2 linked regions of the Diceros bicornis minor genome follow. The protein of the gene in region 2 purifies or fractionates together with the protein of the main gene of each other region. This does not show direct contact. Links are inferred from orthologs where the notes say so. Each region holds a gene or a part of one and is shown on either strand. Other genes may lie near its edges.

Region 1 (10,917 bases), on a different chromosome or scaffold from region 2:
CTGCGTGGACTGCTGAGCCTGCCTCATCCCAGAAATGAGTCATTAGCTGGGGGCTTTCCTTCCCTGGCTCCTCCCCAGAAATGACGCAAGCATTAGACTGTTCTGGAGCCAAGTCCGATCCTCATACTCCCTACGATTTCCTCACCAAAAATTAACTCAATCTCCTTTTTCTTCTCTAGGTTAACACACCCTGAAAGCTACACTGTTTATCTTAAACTTAGGGGTGATTCACAGGCTAATACATCAGTATCAGATCTGACCTCAAGGTTGTCCTGTGGCCTGAGATATGCCTCTGAGGTTTATGAGTTTTTTTTTTTAACTGTAGTAGGAAACTGAACTGAAAATCAAGTCATCTGGCTTCTTGTCCAGGGCCAGCCACTAAGCAGCTGCATGATCCTGGGAAAGTCACTTCCCCTCCTCTCTAAACTCATGTTACCTTTTTTGAAATAAGGGGTGGTACTAAATGACCTCTCAGGGACCCTCCAGCAGTGACCTTGTGCTGGCCGAGCACAGGCCTCATAGACGAGCACCAAATGCTGCACTGGGTCAGCAGGGGACCCAGTGACCCAACCTTTGGTGCTGCTGCCCCTGAGGCTGTTCACTGGCCTGCCTGCCCCTCCACCAGACCACTGGGTGACCTTCAGCAAGTCACCAAATTTATCTGTGTCTCACACTGCTCATCAGAGAACAAAGATAATCATAGTTCCTACATCTCGGCATTGTTGTGAGAATTAAATGAGTTCCTTATGTCTATGAAGTGCTGAGAACAGAGCTTGGCCCACGGTAAGTGCTGTATTTAAGCACAAGATGTGGTTAGTACAATCATTACTCACAAAGCTGATTTCAATCAAAACCACATCCACCATCCACCTATACCATAACCTGGGGCTTCACCTCTGTCAGAGGAAATTTATCTCCCCCAGGGCCCAGACACTCCGAGTGAAGGGCTCATCAACTCCTTGGGGGGTCAATAACAGTGGCCCCCCACCAACAAACAGAAGGGGAGCCCAGTGCTGGCCTTGGCGTACTGCAGGAAACTGCCCACAGTTTCCAGGCTGCAGCTCAGGGAGGGGGCACTGGAAGCTCTGGGCCTCTGCTGAGGAGGCACGGAGAGGAGTCCAAGAGGCCAAATGCAGCGCAGAGAACTGGGGAAGGAGAAGCTGCACAGAGAGGGCTCTGGAGACGTGCAGAGGGGCCCGTCCAGGGTCTGGGTGAGAGCTGATCTGTGCACACACGAGAGGGACCCACCCAGGCTGAGAAGAGACCACTGGAAATCAGCAGGCTGGACAAGGACCGAGGCTCACCAGGGCTGGGAAATGTCCATGTTCCCATCCACCAGAGCAGACAGACCGCAGAAGACGGTGTTGGCTAGTTACCAGAAGTTTACTGTTAACCAACCCTTAAGAGTGAACTAAACTCCAATGACCTAATAACGAAATTCTTCCACTTTAATACTGAAATTGTCCCTGTGTCTTACTTGTAAAAGTAGTCATTCCTATTTCCCCCCTCCCTCTCAGTCCCTCTCTACAGACTGGAGGTGAATCCCAGCCGAGACACTTGCCCTCTCTGAGCTGCAGTTTCTCATCTGCAAGCTGTAATTATCTCACCTCCCGCAAAGGTCCGAGGTGGTCGTCTAAAGTGTTAGCACCCTGGGGTGTTAGGCACAAGGCAGATCCTCTCTCCCTTCCCCATTTCTCACATACAACTGAACAGGAATGGCGGGAGATGCTGTTCCCAGGCCAAAATAGAGCTGATATTATAAAGGAGATCAGGCCTAAAATGCTGGAGACCCATTCCTACTGAGTCTCATTTTCTCCATATGAAACACAGGTGAAAACCATACCAAACTCCCTGTGTTGTTAGGAAAATTACACTGAATAACGGATGCTCAGTGCAGGACACAAGCTGCCCAACAGCTCATGCTCAGTGCACGTTACTGCCCCCAGGCCCCCTCCCTCACCTGGAAGGCAGAGCCCTGCTCCTCTTCCATCCCTGGCTAAGGGAAAGTGGTCCAAGAACCGGGACTGAGGCCTTCTCAGCAGGCGCTGGGTGACCAGCCACCTGCAGCCACAGGGACTGATGCGTTTCCTGCTCACTCCTCAGACTGCGCCTGTGCGGGGCCCTCAGCACAGGGACAACTGAGTCATTTGAGGATGCCAGGCCTGTGGCCCTGCAATGTCATTATGGTCATCACTTGACATTTGGGCTCCTCTGCGTTCCTCCACGACCTCCTCCAGCATTGCTCTCCTCCCTGTTCTTCAGAAGCTCCTGCCTCCACCACAGGGAGCCGAGACCAAGGTGCCAACACGAGCAGGTGGCAGCCACTGCTGGGCTGGACACCATGTGCCCTGTGGCCCTCCCAGCACCACAGTGGTGGACACCACCCGAGGATGGGATCTGTCCTCCCACACAGCCTCCCACGGCGCCCCCACGGCTCTCAGGGGTTCACAAAGGGCCCTGCAGACTTCTCCCCACTTCACACGGGAGGAAGCGGGGGCCACACCAGGGGCCCAAAGCTGGAAAGGAGTCGAGCAGGCCCGCTGTCTCCAGCTCCCACAGCAGGACTCACACAGCCTGACTCAGCCTCTGAGCCTCTGAGCCTCACAGCTCCTACTTTGATAGAGAGGGACCTGAAATGGGGCCATACCAGCACTGCAGACAAGGACCTGGGGCCAGGAGAGGGCTCAGCACTGGGCCCCATCTGATGTCACCCTTCCAACAGCCCGAGCACATGGGCCCCATCTCATTACAGGCAGGGCTGCGGTGGTAACTGGCCCCAGGTGACACAGCTCAAGGGCAGAGCTGGGATTCCAGTCCCCCTGCCGCCCTCCCCTGCAGCCTAATCCGGGTCTCCTGGTCACCTGCTCCCAGTCTCAGAAACCTCATGGATCGTTGAAATCTCTAAGAGCACCAACGAAGCAGAACCACAACTCTGTGGTGCACCATTCTTTATCTCTTGACTAGCAAAGAGTTAAAGTTCAGTGTAGTGAGGGTGTGAGGAGAGAGGAGTACCTGTGGACTCAGTGTGAGTGTAAAATGGTACAGCCTTCTTCTGGGGGACAGCTGGTCATTATCTACACAAAACTACAAAATTATCTGACCCGCTGACACAGCAATTCCACTTCTAGGGAGCCACCCCACAGCACACATGGAATATGGCACATACAAGGGCATATACTCAGTGCTGTGGAGTTAGCAAAAACAAAAACCGGATATAATCTAAGAAGATATTCGTGAGACAAGAGTAAAATAAACTGGTTCACCCATATGTGCTTTACCCATACAATAAAATACCATGCTGTTGTTAAAAAGAATAAGATAACTCTACATGTACTGACATAAAACAAATAATGGAATTTGTCACTAGTTTCACGATATAACAAAAGGGATCATGACTGAAAATGCATAAAATAAAGGCAAGAGTTGAGAAGGGATGAGAAGAGGAGTTTGGGATGTCAGAGGCCTAGGTCTCACGTTCCCCAAACCATAAAATTCAGATTTTTTACCTGTCTACACAGGTATCCTCACATTCACCCAGAGACACACCGACCTGATTCAAGTGAGCCATTCAGAAAGTAGCCTTAAACATGGGTCTCACATAATGCAAACTAAAATGTTAAAAATAAATTCTGTGATTATTTTGTGATTATAAATGTTATTGCTTCTCCGAATTTTTTTTTTTTTTTTTTTTGCTGAGGAAGACCAGCTCTGAGCTAACATCTATTGCTAATCCTCCTCGTTTTTTTTCTCCTCAAAGCCCCAGTAGACAGTCGTATGCCATAGTTGCACATCCTTCTAGTTGCCGGATGTGGGACGCGGCCCCAGCATGGCCGGAGAAGCAGTGCATCAGTGCGCGCCCAGCATCCAAACCCAGGCCGCCAGCAATGGAGCACACACTCAACCACTAAGCCATGGGGCTGGCCCTCCGAATTTTAAATTAATTTGTTACATGAAAATATTTTAAACTTCATGATATCTGCAATGTTGATTTGGCATTTAATTTTTGTTTTTTAAACACCTAAGGAACCTGAAAAGTGGGATGGGCCAGAGTTTCATCAACCCTACGCCGAAGTACACAGTTTTCCACATGGAGCTTTTTCAGGAAGTATGCAGTTTTCCACATGGAGTTTTTTGAGGATGGCAGTACCAGTTTGTGCTTGGAAAGCTTCACACCCCTTCTGAAGAATGGGGCACGGTCTGGATCCCTGACTAAGCGATGAATGGCTGTTTACACAGAGACTTTTCTGTGCGCAGGAACGTGACTAGAAGAAAGCTAGGAAACTGCTCCCCGCGCACACACGGGGGTCAGAACCCAAACGTGGGGAAGGCAGCAGAGTGGTCTCTTCGCGGGCTGCGGTTTAACCGACTTCGGATAAGTACGTTTTAGAATTTAAACGTAAGTGTAAAAAGGAAAAACAGCCCCCCCCCCCCCCCCCCCCCCCCGCCCCAGCGGACAGGGGTTCGCCAGTTCGGATCCTGGGCGCGGACTTACGCACCGCTCATCAAGCCTGAGGCGGCGTCCCATATAGAAGAGCTACAGCTCTAGAACTGTGATACACAACTATGTACTGGGGCTTCCGCGAGAAACAAGAAAAAAAAAAGAGGCAGATTGGCAACAGATATTAGCACAGGGCCAATCTTCCTCAAAAAAAAAAAAAAACAGTAAAAAGAATGAAAGAAAAGATAGCCTGCGCTTGCCCGGGAGTTTCCAACTATTCTGGAATTTACCCCTAGGCCAGCCAAGGACGGGGCGGGGGAGGGGCAGCCGGCGCCAGCTCTTCTCCTCTCCCCCCAGGTAGGTGCCGCTCTTCTCCGGACTCTGCCCACTGTTCGATCTGCCTGGACATGCCTCGGGCAGGCACCCGGCCGTGTCCCCCCTCTCCCCCTGCTCCTTCCCGGCCACCAGGCGCGCCTTCCGGACTCACCGGCAGCAGGACACCGAAGACGACGAAGACAAGGGTCCTGGGGCCCCGGAGCCGAGGCCTGGCTCCTCGCGCCGGCCTGGGACCTGGGGCGCGCCCCGCCCGGGCGCCCGAGGCGGCCGGTGCGCTCGGCCCGCGCTGCCCGGTGAGGTCAGGGAGCGCTCCTAGTTCCCGCCGCCGCTGGCTGAAACCTGGCAGAGGCATCAGGAATTACTCGGTGTGTTTCCCGGGGCGCTGGGACGTCCTGCAGGACGCGGGGTGTTGAGGATATTTGCTTTTTGGGACTGTGGCAGCCTGTTTTCTTATCTTTGACATTGCGTCAGCATGGTGTCAGCGGGAGGGGCGAATCGGAGCCAATAAGCAAACCTTCCCACAGGTTGGCAAGACTCGTGACTTCAGTGACGTGTAGATACATCCAGGCCCCGCCTGAGTGAGAGCCACACGCCCTCTGGGAGCACCGTTCGAAAGTGAGGCGGGATGTGGAAAGAAGGGTATTGTGGCAGCGGCTACCCCGGGGCGTGCAGTTCGTTTCTGGGTCCTGTCCACGCTAGGACAGGCACAGGAGGCGGGGGTGGAGGGTGGGGGGGACCTGGGGGGTAGGGGGGCCTCATCTCCCTGACGTTGTGCCCTCTGCTGTGACCGGTGTAGTGAGGTTGAGAGTCCGCATCCAGGACCTGTCCTGATCCTGCCCTCTTTCTAGAGCCAAAGCATCTCATGTTCGTAAACCCTGTACTATCCAGTCCTGACTAGGGCCCTCTGCCCGCTTTTAACTTCTGCTCCCTGCTCCCGCCAAGGGTCTCTTTGACCTAGTGCACGGATGTCATTCATCCAGGGTCACATTGCAGCTCTGTCTCAGCCCAACGTTTCTCTGTCAGGGGCTTGGTCTTAGTACCTCCGTAGCCAGGTGCCTGGCACAGAGCAGACGCTCAATGAATGGACGGGTTGCCGGAAGGAAGGACACAGAGGCCATGATCAGCGGGTCTGAATTCTGGTCACCAATAGACTTCCACACCTCCCCCATCAACACCTTGAACATTCTGGTAATTCCAGGTCCGTCATTTGTCTCTTGTCTGAGGTCTTCATGTTATCTCATCTCAACCTGCCTGCTGCTGCTGTCAGGCAAGCCGGAGGAACCCACTTCAGCCTCTCTTCTGGATCTTCCTTCCCTGTTAGATGCTTTAAAACCCTTAGGAAACAGAACCTCAGAGACTACTGGACGCATGAAACCAGAGGGGCCTAGGTAGGGTCCTCCCCACGTGGGCCAGGCCCTTCCAGCTGTCCTACACCCCCAGCTCTGTGCTAGGCCTGTTTTATCTTCCCAGCTCTCTGAATATCTGTCAATGATAATAGGGCCCTGATTTCACAATCCAGGGTCACCATTCACATTGGGCAATGCTGTGCTTCCTGTCATCAGGCTCAGAGACATGTGTCCAAGTCACCCTCGACTGCCCCATCTCCCCAGTTTGTCAGGCCCATGTAGTTACCAAAGCCTGCCCATCCCACTCCTCACAGTTCCCGCATCTTCCTCCTCTCTCCATCTAGTCCTCCAGTGTCTGGGTAGGGCCTCTGATGTCTGTGGGTTGTTGCCACAGACTCCATAGTGCTGTTCCCAAGCCCGTGTCCCTCCCTCTTCCTCATGCCAAGGAGGATGGTGGGACACAGCTGGCTCCAGTGAAAGGAATTTGTCAGTTGGCACCGGGAGGAAAAAGCCAGCTCTGGCACTGGGTGAGTCGGTGCTGCTGGGCTCTTCATCCTACAGGGTGTGTGAGCATTTGATGACACAACGCAAGTACAAATACTTGGTTCAAAAAGCTCCATTGAAAGTCTGTTACAGTACATTTCAGATTTGATGATACAAAATAAAAAGAATGATAAAAGAACTCTTATTAGGAAACCCTTCTCCACTGAAAGGAAAAATCTACTAGTGGGTGAGCAGCAGAGCAGGGTTGCTGGTTGGCTGTGGTCCTCAGCCGGTGGCACCAAAACACACACAAAGGGGGGTCTGGTGTCCTGGGTTCAACATGTGGAGGAGAGGGACAGCTGTCAAATGGCAGACCTTTTACAGTGATTCAGCAGGGAGAGCGTGAGGTGCACTCACAAGGATAGAGAAGAAAGAGGAAACCTGAGACGTAACAGACAAGTGATGAGAGATGAATATGAGCAGTCAAGGAAAAAGGGCAAAGGTGACTCCAGACTCAGGAGGCGGGTGGGTGAGAATACTTATCACTGTTGTAGTCATCGATTCAGAAAATGTGCTTGTCCAATCTCAAGATGCTATAAGTTGTCAGTAAAACTGAAAAACGTGGAAAGCATGTAATGAAATTCCACATAGTGGGCATTTCACACCCAGGCAGCACAGCATGTGCACCCCCTGTCTTCTAGGCTACTTGGGACTAATTTTTGGCCTCTCTGATCCTCAGTTTTGCTGTTATAAATGGGCGTGGTCATATCTTTCAGACTGGCTTTCTGTTTTGGACTTAAGAGTAGGAGTAGCTCCTGGCATAAATGGAACACTGGGCTATTGAAGGTTCCAGCTGTCTTCTCTGGATGCTGTCTCCACATTCCAGAGGGAGTCTTGATAGCGGTTCCATAGCCGCACCTCTTTCTTCAGACTGGTTTGTTGTAGGGACACCAAGAGGGCCACAGAGGCAGTCTACACAGGTCCAAAGCCCTGTTGGTGTGAAGGGTGGAATGTGAGACATCTTGTCAACTGTCTACAGCAGTAGGGAGACGGTGCTTGCTCCCCTCCTTCCTTCCTTCCTTCTTTCCTTCCTTTTTTCTTTTCTTGTTTCCTCCCTTCCTCCCTCCCTTCCTTCCTGTCTTTCTTTTTAAACAGTGCATTTTTTTTGGACATACCAAAAGTTATATAAGATCATATAGTGGACTTTAATGTCCTCATAATCTTGCCTAAGAAATAAAATAATTGCAAATGCAGTCAAAGGCCCCCCAAAAACTTGTCAATCACGTTTCCCTCCCTGTAGCAAGTTCTTTTCCAGTGATTGCATGTCTAGTTTCAGGAGAACCACAGGAAAGTTTCCTTGATCAAAGGTGGCACCAGATGGAAAGAGTTTAAAACTAGGAAGTACGTTACACATTTCTAACACCTTGTTATTGGTTATATTATGACAGAGTAAAGTCTTGGCTTCCTGGTCTGACATTTAAGACCTCGCTGTGGCCTGACCTCTATTGGCCTCTCCATCCATTTCTTTCACTCTTCTTGACCTCCAGTCATGCTGGTAGCTATTGTTTCCAGCTCATCCTATGGACATCTCCTTGTTATCACATTCCTTTTGTCCCAGGACTCACTTTTTTTTTTTTTTATTTTGCATTCATTATCTTCCAGAAGAAATAGCACAAGACTAGTAATGCACTGGCAAGCAATTGTCAGGCTCTTGACAATAACGAAAAGAAACAAACAGTATGAATGTCTGAAGGCAGGGATCCATCCAAGCTTAAAGTACTAAAAATAAGCCAGTGACGACAAATGAGTAATTGCACCACATTTCCTTATACTCATGGCATTTGATACATGGGGAGTAAAAGCAGCAGCAGCCACGATTCAAGCTACCTTGAAGGTCAGGTTGGGTCTCTGCTACAGTCTAACAATTCCAAACACCAGGTAATAGGAATATTTCCCTCCCCCTCCCCCTTTTTAAAAAAAAAAAAACTATTTCTTTTTATTGAGATATAATTGACATATAACATTATACTAGTTTCAGGTGTACCGCATAATGATTCAATGTTGTATATATTGCAAAATGGTCACCACAATAAGTCTATTTAACATCTGTCACCACACATAGTTACAAATTGTTTTTTTCTTGTGATGAGAACTTTTAAGATCTATTCTCTTAGCAACTTTCAGATATGCCATACAGTATTGTTAACTATAGTCACCATGCTGTACATTACATCTCCAGCACTTATTTATTTTATAACCTGGAGGTTTATACCTTGCCCTTGAAGGGAGTGTCCTATTTTATGTTCTCTACCATGCTTATTGCAATTACCTTAGGGTTCATTCTTTATTCCATCTCATCTAAAAGATGTCTTCTTTCTTGGAAATACAGTAGCTGTTATCTCTACCACTCACTTGACACAAGCATGTCTTACCTTCTATTTTCGGGGGTTTTTTTTGCATACTGCATATGTTGTGACTCGACAATTCTGTTAACATAATAATTTTCTTATCCCCTCTGTTTTTTTTTTTAACTTCAAATGTCTCTTTGTTTTCCACATTGTGTCTTACACACATCATCTAACACAAAGAGTTTGCTCAGTTATTCTAGATCTTGATCTTAGGGAGACATAGACTTGTCCCAATACCTTTTTTCCTTACTGGGAATATTTAAGCTTTCCAAATGACTGTTGTTTCCAATTATTGAAGTCCTTGATGAAGATGGCCAGTGTGGGCAGTGGTGCAAGTGGGAGGCAGGGGCTAGCTCATTCAAGGACAAGCCAGAATAGGCAGCTTCCTACTTTTATCTTCCCTCCTCTGGTTCCTCTTTTAGGCTATTTATATTTGAATATTAGCCATGCAGAAAGTGGGTAGAACCCATCACTTATTGTCACAGTTCCCTAACTTTTCTCCTGTTTGAGAAAGTCTTTGATCATTTTATGACTAATTTTGGAGCTACCTCTTACTTGGTAACCTGGTGGCCCAAAGGAGGGCTAAAGAGGGCTACCTAGAGCCTTTCCCTCTTGGCCATACTGACCTGTGTCAGGTGGAAATCCTTTTCACCCTCCCTCTTGTACGTGAAAATGATGATAATGGTGCTGCCACAGACAGGAATTGAGGCTTCTGGAAAATCCAGAGTTGGCTTTGTTATTGCCACCTTCCTGATCAGTTACCTTACATGGAGGGCCACAGCCTCAGGACCTGCTGTCAGGGCAGGTAGATGGAGCAGGACAGCTCTGTCCTCACAGTCAAAGGGAGTTCTCAGTGTTCACAGTGACAGTGGGTAGCATCCAGGACTCTTGGCGGTGCTGTTTATGTTTCTTAAACATATTCACAATGTCAGTGCCTAAAGCTATGCAGGCAAACAGCGCCTGCCATAGACTTAAGGAATCCAGTTTTACTGGATGCCTGATATTCACCTGACGCTGATTTAGACACTTTACATTCATTGTCTTATTCAATTCTCATAGCAGTTCTGTGGGGAGGTGTTGGCAGCCCATTACTGCAGATGAGGAAAGCTGAGGCCCTGAAAGATGATGCAGCTTGCTCAGGTGAGGTCCCTACATTTAAATAATGGAACTGCAGTTTAAACCTCTCTTGTCTGATCCCAAATCCTTCTTCTCCTCTCCACTGTGGTGATGTGCTGAAAAGTTTGCTCAGAGGATGTGGCCCAGGCTGTATATGTTTACAGAAGACACTGTCCCCTCTGTGTGGGAGGTGCCCCATCTTGTTTCATTGCCTTAGTCACCAAGAGAACCTTGCCCAGTGCCTGGCTCAAAGCAGATGCTTGGTAAATGTTGGCTGCACAGTGAATGAATAAAAGAAGGGCCACGTGACAGGAGTTCATCCCTTTTGTCTATTTTCTACTTCTTGGGGACTCCTACCAGAATCCCTCTTCCACTCTAGGAGGATCACAAACATCATCGTAAATTCAGATTTTTTTTTTTTTGTGAGGAAGATCAGCCCTGAACTAACATCCATGCTAATCCTCCTCTTTTTGCTGAGGAAGACCGGCTCTGAGCTAACATCTATTGCCAATCCTCCTCCTTTTTTTTTTTTTTCCCCAAAGCCCCAGTAGATAGTTGTATGTCATAGTTGCACATTTAAATTCAGATTGATGAGAGCAAAGGCCATTTGTGCAATCGTACCAATGAGGAGCAGTTTCATTACTATCAAACAGATAGGAAGAATTGAGATCTTTTCAATATTTTTCTTATCAAAAAAGATATTTCAACTCAAGTATTCTATTATAATTCACTTGAGATTTGTGATTTTCTTCAGATAAATTATTATTATTTCTTATCAAGTCTATTTCTT
Region 2 (10,457 bases):
AGCCACCTCATCCACTCATTTCATTACCTTTGCATTAACATGACAGTGTTTCTAAGTAATTTTTGCATCATACCATAATGGACACTGAGAAGGGAAAATGCGGGGGAGGCTTCTTTTCTGGCCCAGGTTTTCCAGGACACATTGTGTGGTAGGATAGTCAGTCTCTGTTGGTTTGTTTGATTAGGTCACACCTCTCTAGTCACGGTGCGAGAGCAGCAGTCACCTTCCCAGCATTTTACACCATTTACAAGGCGCCTCCCCTCCAGGCATCTGCTCTGCGAGTGCAGGGAGCATGGGTGGTTCTTGTTTTACTGGACCCGGGTTCACTGCTCGAGCTCACCTCGGGAAACTTTGTTAAAGTAACATATTTAAAAGAACATTCACTGTTGTATTTTTCTGATCCTAAAATAGTAAAAGTAACACTTGTTCCTTTGAGAAAGTGCAGAAAAGTGTAAAAAGAAAAATAAAAATCTCTTAGAAACTCGCCATTTAGAAGTAATTCTTTGGTCACATTTGGTGGGTTTTCCCCAATTTAATTCACAAATTTAAATTTTAGTGTATGTATATACATATATAAAATTTATAAATTAGAATGTTGGTACATAATGCATACAAGGCGGAAGAGAGTGGGGATGGAAACGCCTGCAGGAAGTTTTCTTTTACTTTCAATTTTATAATATCTGTTAAATAATAAATCTGTTAAATAATAAATTCAATTATATAACTTCTGTTAAAAATAAATCTGTTAAATGTAAATATACATAAAATATATAAATATATTTGTATTATACAATGCATAAGTATATTTAATACTTTATATAATAAATTTGTCAGGAAGTATTTTGATATAAATGTTTATAACATATAGCCCTATAAACATAAAAATATTTTTTCTTGTCTCATTTTACTACAAGCCTCTGAAGAAACTGCTATTATCGTTCTCATTTTAATATTGTGAAAAGTCAGTTTAGAAATAAGCTAATAAGAGTGCAGTCAGGCTCAGATTTAAGCATCTCACTCGGGGGCTGAAATGATGGGCCCTACCAAGATTCAGATTTTGTTCTAATTGCAGTTGGAAGCTAGTGAAGGAAGAAAGGCATATAATCATAATATTTTTAAAGATTAAAATTATAAAAAATTTTAAAAGACCAAAAAAACCCCCCAAAACACAAATTCTTAACAAATCCACTATAGCAGAGAGAGGGTGAGAACCTTACAAACCAAGCCAGTAGGTGCTAGAGCCTGGATTCAGACCTAAGCATCTCATTCCAGAGTCCCAACGCTACCATCACCTTATATGCCATAAATTAATTGCAAATGAATTTCATCTAATCACAAACAATCCTTCTAGCCATATTCTAGCAGCACTCTAGCTCCTTCAGTGACATGGATAACTACATCAAAGCTGGGGAAAATAAATCCAAAACTTGCATTAATCTTCTGAAACAAAAATCTGCGTCTCATTCAAAGTTTGAAAGCCACTCTCAGTTCAAACCCCTAAGTGAGAGTGTGGCCGCTCCCTCCATCCAGAATGCCCGCCCCAGACTGGGGATTCCCCCAGAACCTGGCAGCCGTCCACCCTGCACACAAACACGGTCAAACACAGGGCCCTGCAGCCAGAGCTTTCACAGCCTAGTAAAGGTGTTCAAATCTCAACAAAACTTACAGCTGACCTGTAATTTTCCAACTGGATGATATTCATAACTTCACCTCTACATACTTGTACCTCACAAGCACAGGTCTCTGATTTTGTCAGTCTGTGCTTGCCATTCTACTATTTTCTGTACTGTTCTGTACCTTTTTAATTTCTTTTAAAAAATGAATAATTGAATTATTAGGACTGTGTGCATGTGTGTGTGTCTGTCAGTGGGTATGTGTTGGCAGATGGGTAAGCATAGCAACAAAATCAGTTGAAATTTAAATTTCGGTTTCTATTCTTTGACAAATTTGGCCAGCATAAGGATGAGGGTTCTATACGGATAGCTATACTTGGAGCATTCCAGAAAAGCCTCCAGGAATTCATCAACCTGAGCTGGAGGGGCCCTGAGAGCTGGAAACTGTGGGGTGCTCGCCGTGGCTCTCAGAGAAAGTGCTAACACTCATGGTTTCCCCACCCACACTCAAACGCAAGGATCACCCAGATTCCACCCTCAGCAGCCTAGAAAACTCTAGAATCCAAGGCCTTCCTCCCCGAAGGCCCAACTGACCTTATGAAAGCAAATCCTGGGATCCTCGAAGCGGCAGCAGCTTCTTCGCAGGCCTCTTTCTGCTGGCGCATCCAAGACAAGAGTAAAAAACAAATGAAGAACCAAAAGCACAGCTCGCTCTACTTCCTGTTTTAAAAACTCCTGAGTCAATAGGCCGAGTGAGGTAGGCTGGCCTCAGAGCAGCGCCTCCTTCCAGAGCTGCCAGAGAGAGACCAGGTGCAACAGGCCACAGCACGCTGGGTTGGGAGCCCGGCCACCTGAGCCCTGGCCTGGCCGTGTGACTGTGGACGGGTCATTTCACCTCTGGGGCCTCATCACCACAATCCAAATAGGAAAGTTGGACTGGATGTTAACTAAGAACCCCCTCTTTTCATATGTCAGGAATTTACAGATTTTCTGGGTTCATTACTAAGACTTCAATGTTTTCATTCAATAAATATCGATTAAGCACTTCTGAGAGATCTTGAGATCTGGGAACTGTGGGGCCCTCACCACGGCTCTCAGAGGGTATGCTAACTCCTACAGCTAACTCCCGCGGTTTCCCCAGCTACGCTCAAATACAAGGATCACCTCTATGGCCCTGAGGCCACCAGATCCCACCCTTAACAGCCTAGAAAATTCTAGAATCAAAGGCCTTCCTCCCATAAGGCCCAGCAGACCTTACCAAAGAGGGGCCCTGGAGATATAACCACGAACACACATTAGCCCTGCCTTTTTGCTGTGAGTTGGTTGAAATGTTTTCTGATATTAAAAGCAGAAAAAAAAGAAAATCAAACACCTCTGTTTTTTGAAACTGCCTTTTTTCTTTTCCCAGATGGAATATAAGCTTTCAGAGGGCCGAGACCCATGTTATAGTTGAGAGGATGAAATGAGGTGTCTGCAAGTGCCTCTTCACCTTAGCGGGCAAGGTAAGGGTGCCATGGTAACATTGACGCCCCTCACTACCACTTGAGTCTGCTCGTAAAGCCTGTGTGAGAACACAGCAAAAGAATGAAAGCCTGCAGGGGCTAAATCCTAGCCCAGGAGCTGTTCCCTGACTCTTTCTTGATGCCTCCTGAGCATCCACCCCAGCATTTGTTCCACTCTTTTGTGACTAGTTCCTGTCCTGGGCTGTGAGCTTCACAGGGCAGAGACCGCATCTTTCATGTCCATGTTCCCAGGACCTGCCATGGGAATAGCAAGATCCAGAACGTACAAAGGTTTCCTGCAAATCAACAAGAAAAGAAACCCAGTAGAAGGACAATGGATACAACGTGGACTTCCCTGATAGGGATGCTCAAATAGCCAAAGTGTACCAAGGGATGCTCAAACTCATCAGTAACTGGGGAAACACGAAATAAAGCCAGGAAATACCCACTTTATACCTATCAGATTGACAAAGATTTGCAAGTTGGATCAGACCAAGGACTGGTGGCCAAGTTCTTACATAGTCCTCATATAGGACTGGGGAGACTGTCCATCGTGTAATACCTTGTAGTGGTTAGGAAGTGGGACCTGGCAAAATACATAGAATTTAGAGGGCAGAGTGCTTACTTTTTACAAATAATACTCATATGCAATAATAATTGCTAACACTTACTGGGTACTTCGTAGTGCCAGTCACTCTTGTAAGTGGTTAACACGTATTATCTCCTCCAATCCTCACAACCACCTCAGGAGGTAGCATTAATTCCATTTAATGATGAGGAAACAGACATCAAGAAATACTTACTTGCTCCAGGTCACAGAGTTTAGATATAGTGTACACACACAAAACAACGATACATTTTGCAAAGACAGATCAATTCAGGGATACTTATAAAAGACGCAGAGAGTGGTCATTGGGGAGCCAGTGAGTGGTGTCGGAAGTGTGGTGGGGGTAGGGCGATCAAAGAAATTGCTTAGAACGGGGTGGGGGGGGGAGTGTTGCAGGCTGGGAGACCAAGGATGACAGGCCATGGGGTCTGACAGAATGATTAACTCAACCCTCTGTCCCAGGGCCCAACGGAAAAGAAAACAAACATAAACGGGTTAATGAAGTCTTGTGGGATCCAGCAGGAGAGAGACACTGTCTGTACTGAGGCAGCTGGGGAGACTGTGAACAGAAGTGCAGCAGAGGAGCTGGAGATTCCTCAGAGTTAGCAAGGCCGGTGGCTGTGGTTCAGAGAGAAACGCCATTCGGACGTCTGCGCCCTGGCAGGCCCGGAGGTGTCTCCACTCGGTCGGGAAACGCAGTCCCCAGAAGCCGTGTCTGCACGAGGCACTCACCTGCTCCACTCTGTCCCGGCAACATCACAGTCACCAGGTCCCCATGCCAGACCCCTGACCGGCCTAGTTTCACACACAAATTCTTAAGGCTTGTCCACACAGCCACAGAAAAAGCCCGTGAAACAGGGAGGGAGGAGGGGAGCGGGGACGGAAACGCCTCCAGGAAGAAGATTTCCTTTACTTTCGATCCCTCCTCCGGGCTCTTCTCCTCCCCCAGCGGACTCATTTCCTGTTTCTCTGTTCTCCACATTCAGAATTTACTAGCAAATCCAGCGGGGCTTTAAAAAAATCACAAGAGACAAAGGGGAACCTGCGAAAACATTGCCCTCCAGCAGAAGGGCAAAATCTGGTCTCGGCAAGAGAGAGAGAAAATTCCTCAACAAAAAGAACTAGAGAATAAAGCTGATTCCTAAAACTGGAGATCAGTGACTCATTCAACAAGAAATGTTTCTTATTATGGTGCTGAGTTCCAACCATTCAGAGGAGGAGATGACAGACAGTTCGTCAACGTGCAAACTGAAAACCAGGAAGCTGGACATGCTTTATTGGAAAGCATTTGTCCTGACTACATTTACTATTAATAACCCCTGTAATTTTTAAAGACAGGCTTGAGACTGCCCATGGCAAGTATAATGCCATTTTCCCGTGACAGGCTGGGGAGAGGAATTGTCCCTCTGTGCCGTGGCCCAAATCTCTGCCCGGATACCATGGACCAGCCGTGAGATCCTATGTCTGAGCTCTCCTTGGGTAAGAGCAGGCTTCTGGCTGAAATGTGGGGAGACTGTGCACAAAAAGGGTGGAGTGGGTCTGGCCCAGTCCTGAGTAGGAGTAGCAACAGTGTTCGCATCCCTAGCCAAGCTCCCAAGAGCAGTAGTAAGCAGTGCCTGTCCAGGGCCGAGGCTGGGGTGGTGTAATGTGGAGATCTGCCCCCCAGACCTGCCCAGGGGCCCTCACCAGTTTTTCTTCATCCTTCGTCCCCTCCCCACTCTCTGCTTCTGTTTCCAGTTTCAATTATTTCAAGGGTTTTCTGCCCTTTTGTTTTCACATCTTGTACATTTTTTTAAATTATTTTATTGAGGTCATATTGGCTCATAACATCGTGTAAATTTCAGGTGTACATTATTATAGTTCAGTTTCTGTATAGACTGCATTGTGTCCACCACCAATAGTCTAGTTTTTATCCCTCACCCTGCATACGTGCCCCTTTACTCCTTTTACCCTCCCACCACTCCCTTCCCCTCAGCCACGTGCAAAAGAATGAAAGTAGACCATTATCTTACACCACACACAAAAATTAACTCAAAATGGATTAAAGCCTTGAATGTAAGACCTGAGACCATAAAACTCCTAGAAGAAAATATAGGCAGTACCTTCTTTGCCATCGGTCTTAGCAGCATCTTTTTGAATACCGTGTCTACTCAGGCAAGGGAAACAAAAGAAAAACTAAGCAAATGGGACTACATTGTCTTGTACATTTTGTAACCAAAACACTGACAATAATACAGTACTGTCTTGACATGAGTACAGCCATGTTTGGCCGCTCCATTGACCTACAGCCACCAGCACAAAAAGAAATATAAAAGCTGCTTTCTGTGTGGTGGGAACTGGCCTTTTCCCGGGAACTGGCCTTTCTCCCACAGAGAGAGTTGCAAGTTGTAACATTTCAAGGCTCTTGGAGCGTCGTAGCACGGGATGGACTGGCCATCTGTGCCGGGCTGAGACGATAACCAAAGAGAACAATGCACGTACACAACTACTGGGCCGGGATGTTAGCCAGGAGGCTCAGTGCACGTACGCCACTGATAACCATTTTGTACATGGGAACACTAAATGCTTGCTCTGCAAACTCTGTAATTGCTTACTCTGAAAATTACTGATGGTATAAAAACTGCTGGAAACTGAGCCCCGGTGAGAGTTCCACCTGTGGAAGGGACACCTTGCCCAGGACGTGTGATCCTTGCCCAGCTGCGTTGATTGACAGGGCTCTCCCAGCAGTGCGTGGATGTTGTAAGTAATTGATTTGATATGAAGTAATTGATTTGATGTGTAGTAAGTGATTTGATGTGTTCTCTTTTCGGTCAACCTGGTGTTTCTCTTTCTGGTTGATTTGTGTCATTTCTCTTCAGCCAATGTGGGTGTTTTCCCTTTCCACTCGGGCTGATGTTTTTTCCCTCTTAATATTTGACCTATTTGGATCTGTTTGCAGACTATCGCCTTTACTATCCTCTATATAATAAAATATACCTTCAGTCCATTTGTTTGGAGTGGAAAGTGTCTTTTACGTCTCCGATCGAATCCCCGAACCTCTCGTAACAAGTACCTATATGTTGTACCCTTTACGTGGGTTATCTCTAACTCTCACAGCAATGCAGGGGGTTGTTCTCCCATGTGATGGATGAGAAAACTGAGGCTTAAACACATAGACTCAAACTCAGTCCTCTTGGACCAAACACATGGATTTTTCCACTGTAGCACACTAGCCCCCCTTCCTCAACACTTAGGATGTGAAGTGAACCGCGTAGATGGAAAAGCAATAAATTTAAACTAAGAGGGAGTGACCTATGCACAAAGTTCAGACAGTCTTTGGGTTCTCAGTCACCTAAGAAAAAGGAGCTGGTCTAAGGGCACTAGCTAACATTTATCAAACATTTTGTGTGCCAGACACAGCCGCCTAAACTGGCTCACTTCACCTTCCGAACAATTCTCAGAAGTGGATGCTATTTTTGCTCCCATTTTGTGGGTGAGGAAACCGAGGCTTGGAGAGGTTGAAAGACTTGGCTGAGTGCGTTCAGGTAGTGAGTGACAGAGTGAGGTCTGTTTGTCTCTAAGACACTGACCAGTTAGTCACTGTCTAAGTATTCATACACAACCATGGTTCTCGATTTGACTGATCTGAGAATTAACTGAGGAGGCTTAAAAAAAACACCAGTCTTCAGGTCCCAGCTTTGGAATTCCCACCCAAGCAGAATTAGAGGAGATGAAACAGATGGAGCACTTAGCGTAGTGCCTGGGCCTTCGACAGTTCTCAACAGATACTCACTACCACTGTTACTTTGGCTCACGACGTCTGTAAGACTGCTTGGATTATGAGACATATTGTACAGATAAGGAACTAAGTTCGTGTCAATCAGCTGACAAGTGGCCAGGCCAGTGCAGGAACCCAGGAAGGTCTCACTCGAGGGTTTGTGCTCATCTGCTGTCCACACCCAGGCCCAGCCTGGCAGAAATGGATGAACCCCTGGAGGTGCTGAGGTTGGGTTGCGGGTCTCAGGACTTCCACTTGTGTCATCTGTAAGGGATTGATCCTTGGCTCTCCTGGTCTTAGCTCTTTTTAAAAAGGAAGATGAATAATTAACAAGTGAATTGGAACCTTAAGTTGGTTAAGTTCCTATTATGATCCGCAAGGATCATTATTAATTCACTTGCTCTTACCAGTGTCTTGGTGCCATCTTGAGATATGTCTTTATATCAAAATGAATAACATAGGTGGTCTGTAGGTCCCGGGGAAGCTGGGAGACCTGGAGGTGCTGCAGCAGCAGCAGGGCCTGGGGGAGTGCCCACCCAGCGCAGGATGAGGACAGCCTGGTGGGACTTAACTGCCCAGTGGTTTCCACCCTCCTGGATCTCCACTCCCACCTGGAGGCCTGCTCCAAAGAATCTCGTCTCCATTTGGAGCTGTCTATCTCCCTAAGGAAGCCAAGAAGGATTGAACCTCCTCTCACCTGGCTGCAGCACACCCGTCCTATTATCTTGGATTTGAACCACAGGACCTTAGTCAAGGATAAATACCGACAGTGAAACAAAAGTCCCCTGACAGTGCATGCTCTTTCTTTCATTGCTTCCTTATTAATTTGTGTATAACTGACCCACAGTCCAGGTGGTCTGGTGTGTGGATTCGATTAGGTCCCTCCTGACCCCTCTTTGACTCTAGCACTGGCCTTGGCTGGGCCCTAGACTCCCTCCAGGGAGTGGAGAGGAAAAGGAAAAGAGATGACTTCCAATCAATCTATTCCATCCCCTCCTGGGCCTTGCAGGGAGGGACTCAACCAGTTATCCAAACGTTTTTAACAGCCGGGATTTGCTCCGGTGTTGAGATGATTAGACAGTCACCGGCAGATAGATGGGTTTACAGTCACTGATCTCAACACGAATATTCTACACCTGCTGGTTGCCAGTACCTGCTCCTCTACTTTCCCAAAAAAAAACTACTGCCAGCAAGAGCCCATCCCACTGATCTAGAAAGGAGGAAACTGAGGTAATTATTGGGCTGTGGTGCCAATATTCACATTGCCAATCTTTTTCAACATTTTCTTGAAGGTCTGCGTGAAGACAAGGCAAGGGTCCTCCATGTTCTCGCTTGACTATATGCCCACACCCAAGGAATGGGTCACCTCAAACCCTAAGGGCAAGTTTCAAGAGTCATTTTAAAGAAATTTTTTTATTATGGTAAATTATATGTAGCATAAAATTTACCATTCTAACCATTTTTAAGTGTACAGTTCAGTGGCATTAAGTACATTCACATTGCTGTGCAACTGTCACTACCATCCAAGAGCCACTTTAAATGATATGATAACAATATATTTGTTAAGCATGAGGCAGTTTTAGAGCGATTTTCCTACTTCAGCTCATTTGGTCCTCACTCATAACCACATTTTTTGGTCTACCAGGCAGGGCAAGTGTTATGAAGACATTTAGGAAACCAAAGCTCAGAAAGGTGATGTAACTGAGCTGGGTCTACACAGCTGTGTATCTACAGACAGGACGAGTGACGGCTTCTTAAAAAAATCAAAAGATGGAAGGATCATTCTCTGAAATACATATTTTCTCCATTTTAAAAGGAGTCACTCCTCATTTTCTTCAAAGGAAATTCATTCTTATGTTTTCTCAATGCAAAAAGGATTTTAAGAACGTCTATGGTAGGAACAATTCAAACATATTTATTTAAAAAATTGGGCAATGATTTTTTTCTCAAAACTATTACTAAAAGGGGCCGGCCCGGTGGCGCAAGCGGTTAAGTGCGCGCGCTCTGCTGAGGCGGCCCGGGTTCGCCAGTTTGGATCCCGGGCGTGCACCGACGCACCACTTGGCAAGCCATGCTGTGGCGGCATCCCATGTAAAGTGGAGGAAGATGGGCATGGATGTTAGCCCAGGGCCAGTCTTCCTCAGCAAAAAGAGGAGGATTGGCAGATGTTAGCTCAGGGCCGATCTTCCTCACGAAAAAAAAAAAAACTATTAGTAAAAATAAGAACAATACACACATTCTCAATGGGACAGCTGGTGTGCAGGCACAGGTCAGCCCACGTGAGACTGCCAAGTAGGCAAATTGTATATTTGGCCTCTTCCCCCACAAGACACTGTTTCTTCCCCCGGAAGTGTCCTTCCAGGCCCACAGTTCATACCCCATTCCTACAGAATCTAGCTCTCAACATTCAAAATGATAACTCACCAGCTATATTAGGAGGGTTAATGCAGTTTCTTATTTATCTTTCTTGGCATAGTCTATATGAAAACAAAAGCAAACATATGTTTGCATTAACTTTAATTTTTGCAGAAATGATTTGTACATTTGTATAAACATTTGTGTGTGCGTTCTACAGTTTTCTCATCTAACTCTATGGCGTAGCTCTTTTCACACCAGTGCTTATGAACCGCCTCACTCCCCTTTACCCCTGCTCAGTGCTCCGAGCTAGAGTTTCACACCACTTGAGACAACATGCATTCTAGTTGGCGTCTCTGCAAACCCACGGGGCTCCTCAGAAAGACACAGCTGAAGAGCAAGGATGCTGTGTTGACCCCGAGGCTGCCCTGGAAGCCGGCCACTTGATTCCCTCACAGACGGCGGCAGTTGGCTAATGAGGACCAGAATTTAGGAAGGGGTCCCTGCCACCACGGTTAGGCATGTCATGGACTCTCCAAATCAAACTTTTTTTTCTCTAAAGTTATTCAGGAGGAGATTAAGCCAAAAAGCCCTGATAAGAGTCATTCCAAATAACATCTTAG

What was found. The genes of interacting proteins can lie anywhere in the genome.
Region 1: the proteins of CASP8 (region 2) and tumor necrosis factor receptor superfamily member 10A-like purify together in Homo sapiens (affinity purification with western blotting; 13 studies listed by BioGRID and IntAct, counting the BioPlex papers as one, with this or other methods). This does not show direct contact. The link is inferred for Diceros bicornis minor from reciprocal best matches to the Homo sapiens genes CASP8 and TNFRSF10A.

The regions. Positions count from the first base shown.
Region 1 is NC_080750.1:70,845,161-70,856,077, reverse strand, and holds the start of tumor necrosis factor receptor superfamily member 10A-like, read right to left. Parts: upstream 5,204-10,917; 5' UTR 5,127-5,203; coding exon 4,926-5,126; intron 1-4,925. UniProt on the Homo sapiens protein: Receptor for the cytotoxic ligand TNFSF10/TRAIL. The adapter molecule FADD recruits caspase-8 to the activated receptor.
Region 2 is NC_080749.1:79,142,872-79,153,328, reverse strand, and holds the start of CASP8 (caspase-8), read right to left. Parts: upstream 4,565-10,457; 5' UTR 4,455-4,564; intron 2,270-4,454; exon of another isoform or gene 2,208-2,269; intron 1-2,207. UniProt on the Homo sapiens protein: Thiol protease that plays a key role in programmed cell death by acting as a molecular switch for apoptosis, necroptosis and pyroptosis, and is required to prevent tissue damage during embryonic development and adulthood.